Linked DNA regions of Danio rerio. The protein of the gene in region 1 purifies or fractionates together with the protein of each later gene. This does not show direct contact. Links are inferred from orthologs where the notes say so. Each region holds a gene or a part of one and is shown on either strand. Other genes may lie near its edges.

Region 1 (4,273 bases):
TTTCTGTGACACTTACCACCATGGGCTACCCTTTAATCAAAGAGTAGAGAAAGGACAAAGTTAAGCAGAGCTCTCCATAAGCCATAACCTCAATGTGCAACAAGTCAACAACACATGGTTATCCTGCATTGACAAAGAAGACTGAATAGTGTGAACCTAATCTTACCTTTAGGCATACCAAGCTACAATGCATTTCATGCTTTATAATGCAGTGTTTCCACTAGGTCCTGTTGATATCTAAGTTTCAAGCTCTTTCACAAAAGGTCAAGCTCTTAGCAAATAAAGAAAGCTACTAGTGGAAACAGAGCATAAGTCCAACCAAAAACCTGATCCAATGTCTCCTCTATAAGGGGAAAAAATTCCAAGTCATAATTTAAAGGGCATTTCCATAAAGTCCAGAGGTAGATGAAAACACTTACCATGCTGTTTGAACCAGCATCTGATTCTTCTCACATTCCAGCACTTGCAGGTACATGACTATAATCTAAAATGATAGAAAACAAATTTTAAGAGATGCAATAAGGATTTCAATGCACAGAAGACAAGCAATAACAACATTTTAACTGATAGTAAACAAAACTCACCTTATGTGGATGTTTGACATGAACACAGAAGCCCAGCTCCTTCAGGATACGACGCTCAGCTTTAATAACTTGGTTCTTGGTATTAATGTAATTTTGATCAAGAATGAGGGGTGTGCTCCTGTATCAACAAATAGAAAAAAAATTAATTAGCTATTGTTGAACATGAAACATTACATCTATGACACAGACATGGGATAATAAACTGTTTTAAGGTTTACCACAGTTTGGAAAAAGTCAAGGTTTTAAATTTCTGTTATACTGTTCCTATGGTATATCTACAGTTTATTTAACGTGTTTTTAGCGACTATTTTATTTATTTGGGCAACAATATGTTCCGCAGGAAAGGACCCTCCACATCAAAAGCTACGGTTCCAAAATATTTTAAATGATTCTTAACTAAATATATTGAGTTCAATGGGGGAAGTAGTTGTTTTTAACAAGACATTTAAAAAAACAATTTAGAACTCATACCTACAATGATATCCACATCCACTGATTTGTTTTAAATTTTCCTAAAATATCAACGTAATCTTTTTCACTTATGTCAACAGAAAAAAAATCTACAAAATTTCCAAAATCGTTTCAGAACTAGAAATTTATATTTCATTTAATCAGAAAACAGGGCAGTTTAAATGATGGATTAAGTGACCAACATGTTTTGAAGACCGAACTGGTCTGACATTTTGAATTTAATCAAAACTAAAATTCATTTCAATAGTTTAAAACCACCGGCCAAAGCAAAAAAGTTCACTTAAGCTGGAAAACAGCTGTAAACTAACACTGGTAGATTATGTAACAGGTAGGTGTGTTCTATAACTCCAGCTTTTACTTAGAAGGTTTGACAGGTTGTATTTTAATTTTTTTTGTTTATTGTTAAGCTAGCTTCTATGGCTATTTCAATGTTAAGCTAATGCATACTAGTTATAATATGCTATTTTGTTTATTTAAAACTGTTCTTATTTTAAGTGTTAAAAATCACCTCAAAAGACTAAACAAAAAAAAATCCTCACAGATTTAATCGCTGACACAATCTAACAGCAACACTAATATTGACAATAGGCAGAAATTTTGAAGAGTAAATTGAAATCCATTAACATGTACAATAAAATGTACAAAGTTTTTCAAACTTGTTTTAAGGCAAGAAAGAATGTTATTTAATAACGTTCCTTATAGGACAACTTTGATGACAGGTTTTAGTTAACTTCAGACATTAACTACTGTATATTGCGGCTTTATAACACTTTCCTGGGTAAATAAAACTACTTCTTAAAACATAAATACAACAAAAACTTAAAATCATGCGTTCGACTTACTTTTTACCCTTTCCTTGTTTCAAATGGTGGAAAACGTTGATCACATCCCTCACTCGTCTTGGCGACTCCTCAATCTTTGAAGCCAAGTTCACGCAGGCCATAGCAACAATCTGTTTTAAAGCGAAACCAGGTTCAAAGTTTTCATGAGATGGTCTTAGTCAGGTATTTAACAATATTATGTATTTCTAACTTACCTCAAAGTTGTGCTTTACGAAGGACTTCGAGAAAAAGAATCTTTGAAAAATTACTTGTCCCGTCGCCATCGCCACCTACGCAAAAAACATAAAACAATATCAACAACCACATTCTCGTAAACAATTGACGTAAATAACATTCAACATAATTATAATATCGCTAAAAAATATAACAAATAACGAGAATCATCTTTAACAGCATCTCAAAAATGTGTCTCGAGCCACTTGAAGGACTCTATGGAAGACAAAGGCCGCCGGTTTCACTGTGCCGGTTTCGGCTAAGTTAGCCGGCTATGCTAAGCGCCTAGTTAAGGCGTTTACGTTAGATAACTGTGAGCCGAGCAAACGAACTAACGTTAATTCCTGAATATAAACACACTTCAACACTAACCTGTGGCAGACGAAGGAGAATCCCGGCTGACTGAATGCGTTCGCAGCCCAGAATCCGTAGGTCTGTCTCGGTCTCATGGTCGAGGCCATCCAGCATGGACGGGGTCGTGCTCAGCCTGTCCTCGGGTATGATCGAGTTGTCGATGGCCAGAAACACCTCCGAATACACTTTATCGCCAATAAGAATGCCCTGGTTATTTGGTGGTGGAGTGTTCAGATGAGGAGATAACATGCCAAGAGACATATTTGATGGTGTAACTCGCTATCACAAAACGTAGACCTTTCGTCTGCCAGGCGGAAATGGCAACGTTTCGCGATTGACGCACTTCAACGGCGGAAGTGACGTCAACGTTTGTGACGTCACTCGTTGCGTTGGAACAGTGAAATCCCGTAGAATACCGCGATGTTGTGTTGGTGTTTTGCGAGAATGTAAGAATCTAATGTGCTTATAATCTATAGCCTACACATTGCTATATTTTAAATTTAGAAAAAAGAATGTAAGTATTTGATGTGATATGAACTGACCTGATACGATATATGTTCTCAGACAGACATATAGATAGATTCAACTAAATTAACAGTCTCCTATCGATTTACAGTAGGAGTTGACTGAGTAACTAATAAGCCGGAGGAGCAGAAGCAGGAGACAAAGTAATGATGATAGAGAAAGAGCAGAGTTTATTGAATAATCTTAGTTTTGTATGATCCAATGCTAAGAGTTTGTCTGAAAAGAATAAATCCAACAAGTGTTATTATACCATATAAGCAACAGCAATGGGAAATGACTGTTTCACAACATTGTCCAGAGACAATACAGACCTTGAAATGAAGACATTCTCTCATCTCTTATGCTTAAAAACAAGTGTCGCTTGAATCCATAAGATTATAACAATATGGAAATATTCAATAATATTGAGCAAATTATTATAGGAAAATAATCATAAAATATAAAGACGAAATTACAAATAATACTCAATAATAATAATAAAATATAAAGACACAATTACAAATAATACTCTATAATAATAATAAAATCATTAACTAATAGTCCATAAAATGACAATTATACAGTATGACTGACTAATGACCATATGATTAAATAAAATTGAGATTAGAATGGCTCAATCTGTCTATTTTTAATCACTCCTAAAAACATACCTATTTAGCTTGACTTTTTGATTTTATTTTAATAGTTCTACTGCTTCATTTTTAAATTTATTTAGTCGTTTCTGTTGGTCATTAATCTAAACTAATACAGACAGACAGACAGACAGACAGACAGATAGACAGATAGACAGATAGATAGATAGATAGATAGATAGATAGATAGATAGATAGATAGATGCAGCAGGTTCCCACAGGCATGTGACATAATCCATTACTATCTTGCCAAGTACCAAAGTAATCACACCATCAAAACTGAGACCTCCACCATGATGAGGACTCATCACAGAAACTGATGAGACAGCTCACTGAGGGGACATGATATGCCTTGACGCATGCTCAACAGCACATATAAAGATCACTGTTGACTCCTTTAAAATCTTGACCTTTTTATATCAATGACAAGGAGGAAATAATCACAGGTTGGAAATGCATATTTTCTTCAACAGAGCAGTGATTTGTGTTCAATCTATAATTCTGTTTTGTTGATTAAGAAAGTGGATGTTTGATATTATTAATTTAAAAAATTGTGAATAATTTTATTTAGATGGTCGCCAGACACACGTTTACTATGTTACTTTGCAAAATTGTCATTAGAGTATTTGTCTACTGTCTGCTGAAAAGCTGC
Region 2 (3,500 bases), on another chromosome or scaffold:
TTTGGAAACAGGATCAAAATTGTTAGGCCAAGAATCATTTGAAGGATCAAGATTATTTTCCATAGAGATATTTAGTTAATTTGCTACCATAGATGCATTTAAAATGTCATTTTAATGTGCACTTCATTTAGTCTGCTTTTTTTTTTCTCAATAATTAGTTTTTTTTTAGAACCTCAGATTTTCAAGTAGTTGCATCTCAGCCAGTTATTGTTCCGTTCTAACAAACTTTACATCAATATAAAGCTTATTTATTCTGGTGTAAAGCACTTAATTTACACCTAAGACCTGTTTTGTGCTCCAGGGACACATTTCACAAATATTTAGGATTTTATTTTTACAAAAACATAGCAGATACTTGCATTTAATAATCTTTCTATGTAAATAAAAGCATTAGTAGCAAATAAAGTACATACAGTAATTTATTAATTTTATAAAAGATTAACTATTATATATATATATATATATATATATATATATATATATATATATATATATATATATATATATATATATATATATATATATATACTCTCAGCGGCCAATTTATAAGGTATACCTTACTTGTACAGGGTTGGACCCCATTTTACCTTCAGAACTGCCTTAATCTGGAAATATTCCTCAGAGATTTTGGTCCATATTGACATGATAGCATCACGCAGGTGCTTCCGATTTGTCGGCTGCACATCAGTTATGCAAATCTCCCCTTTCACCACATCCCAAAGGTGCTTCATCGGGTTGAGTTTTAGTGACTGGATGTCATTTGAGTACAGTGAACTCATTGTCATGTTTAAGAAACCAGTCTGAGATTATTCGCGCTTTATGACGTGGCGCATTATCCTGCTGGAAGTAGCCATCAGAAGATGAGTACAGTGTGGTTATAAGGGCATGGACATGGTCAGCAACAATACTCAGGTAGGCTGTGGTGTTGATATGCTGCTCAATTGGTACTAATGGACCCAAAGTGTGCTAAGAAAATTTCCCCCACACCATTACACCACCACCACCAGCCTGAACCGTTGATGGGCTGAATGGATCCATGCTTGCATGTCGTTGATACCAAATTCTGACCCTACCATCAGAATGTCGCAGCAGAAATCGAGACTCATCAGACCAGACAACGTTTTTCCAATCTTCTATTGTCCAATTTTGGTAAGCCTGTGCGAATTGTAGCCTCAGTTTCCTGTTCTTAGCTGACAGGAGCAGCAACCGGTGTGGTCTTCTGGTGCTCTAGTCTATCCACCTCAAGTCCGACGTGCCATGCGTTCAGAGATGCACCCACAGAACTGCTGCTCACTGGATATTTTATTTTTTTCTGACCATTTTCTGTAAACCCTAGAGATGGTTGTGCGTGAAAATACCAGAAGATTAGCAGTTTCTGAAATACTCAGACCAGCCTGTCTGGCAACAAACCATGCCATGTTCAAAGTCACTTAAATCACCTTTCTTCCCCATTCTGATGCTCAGATTGAACTGCAGCAGATCGTCTTGACCATGTCTTCTTGCCTAAATGCATTGAGTTGCTGCCATGTGATTGGCTGATTAGAAATTGGCTGATTCGAAATTTGCGTTAATGAGCAGTTGGACAGGTGTACCTAATAAAGTGTATAAATATATGTGTATGTGTAACTATGTGTAGCTAATATTAAAATTACATTGTTGAGGGAGATAAAGATTCCAGTTGTGTTACTGTAAGTCACTTTTTTAATGTAATATTAGGCCACTCGTTACCATAAATTAAAGATGTGATTTATCCACAACACTAATAAAAAAATTCCTTTATGTATTTTATGTAGAAAAAGGTGTGTGTGTGTGTGTGTGTGTGTGTGTGTGTGTGTGTGTGTGTGTGTGTGTGTGTGTGTGTGTGTGTGTGTGTGTGTGTGTGTGTGTGTGTGTGTGTGTGTGTGTGTGTGTGTATGTGTGTGTGTGTACATATTGCTGTAGTAATTTATAGTAAAATTAACAAGTAAAATAAAGTACGAAGTAAAAGTAAAATAAACAAGCATAAATAAATATGGTACAGTATTTATTAAATTTTTCCTTTCGTGTCCCCACAGGCAGACACGGAAGCGCTGGGAACAATTTGTGCAGACGGAGAACCAGCATTTGGTGAGTCCAGAGGCTCTGGATCTTCTGGACAAGCTGCTACGCTACGACCATCAGCAGAGACTGACCGCCACCGAGGCCATGGAGCACCCTTATTTCTGTGAGTTCCTCAACCTAATGACTGCTGACCGCTGCTGCAGACACAATGAATAACATCTACAATCCATATGTGCGTGCAGATCCAGTGGTGAAGGAGCAGTCTCACACTAATGCAGACGGCACTATAGTGTCAAGCGGAACCAACACACCCCGATGAGAGCAGGTATCAATCACTGATCAGTCAATATTCACATATGTGCTTTTAACTCTTGCAATCTTTTGGTTTTCAACAACATTCTAGATTTGTATATGCATATAAAGAATATATTTTAATATATATTGTTAATCTTGAAGTACAATATTGGATTAATATTATTACTAGAAATAATAGTATAGTACGAATGCTAGTTTTAAAACAAAAATCTTATTCATGTTGATTTTCTATTTAAATTTTTAAGTACATGTATTTTTTTTTAGATCTGGAAGACATTGGTTTATATTTAAAAACATAGAACGTTTAATAACATATAAAAGTTTAAATGCAATCATGCTGTACATCAGTGCTATTTTAGTGTTATTTATATACTCTATTTATTAATATTTCAATGTTTATGCAACTGTTCCCAACAGGCACACAACGTCATAAGACATTAATGTTAGGTTAGATTTAGGTCTTGATGTCAGATGACCAAAATTCAACGTCTAGCCCAGTGTCATATATGATGTATTGTCAAAAGCCCTGATCTTTTGGAATATGCTGCACTTAAAAAAATAGGTAGTATAACATTCATTTTGTTTTCCAAGTGCTTAAAATGACCACATACATCACGCTCATTCCACTTAATGCAGCTTTTGTGTCGAGTCCTTCAATAGTCAGCTGTTCAGCAGTAACTGTTTCTAGGTGGTAGTGGGACTGTTATCACACGGCAAGTGTTAAACAAAATCCAGTCACACGTCATTCATTCATTATTTTGAGGAGCTGATGAACTAATAATACAACTGTTTCACAAAAAAATCTACTTAATATTTGTTTACACAATGTAAAATGTGTGTAGAAAAACTGTAATCAATACAATGTGCATCATATTAAAGTAAATACATGCAAATTATTCAGAAAAATGTCATTTGTACTAGCTTTATAGATATGATATAGATATCCAGAAACATTTCTCTAGATATGATATAGCCAGTCACATCTGTTTCTGTAATTGTTAAATCACAGTGAGTTTATGCTCTCCTTTGGGACTAAGCCCCTTATCCGACTCTAGCAACATCCCTGGTCTAGCCACTGTCTAAGGATGTTTTTTTAACGTCCCAGAACGATTTCAGATGACGTTGATTTTAGGTTGTGTTGGAAA

What was found. The genes of interacting proteins can lie anywhere in the genome.
Region 2: the proteins of ccnl1b (region 1) and csnk2a2b purify together in Homo sapiens (affinity purification with mass spectrometry; 4 studies listed by BioGRID and IntAct, with this or other methods). This does not show direct contact. The link is inferred for Danio rerio from reciprocal best matches to the Homo sapiens genes CCNL1 and CSNK2A2.

What each region holds. Positions count from the first base shown.
Region 1 is NC_133177.1:39,650,260-39,654,532, forward strand, and holds the start of ccnl1b (cyclin-L1), read right to left. Parts: upstream 2,801-4,273; 5' UTR 2,726-2,800; coding exon 2,483-2,725; intron 2,167-2,482; coding exon 2,092-2,166; intron 2,008-2,091; coding exon 1,898-2,007; intron 703-1,897; coding exon 585-702; intron 485-584; coding exon 420-484; intron 31-419; coding exon of another isoform or gene 17-30; intron 1-16. UniProt on the Homo sapiens protein: Involved in pre-mRNA splicing. Functions in association with cyclin-dependent kinases (CDKs). Inhibited by the CDK-specific inhibitor CDKN1A/p21. May play a role in the regulation of RNA polymerase II (pol II).
Region 2 is NC_133200.1:14,573,496-14,576,995, reverse strand, and holds part of csnk2a2b (casein kinase II subunit alpha'), read left to right. Parts: intron 1-2,054; coding exon 2,055-2,203; intron 2,204-2,282; coding exon 2,283-2,359; 3' UTR 2,360-2,365; intron 2,366-3,500.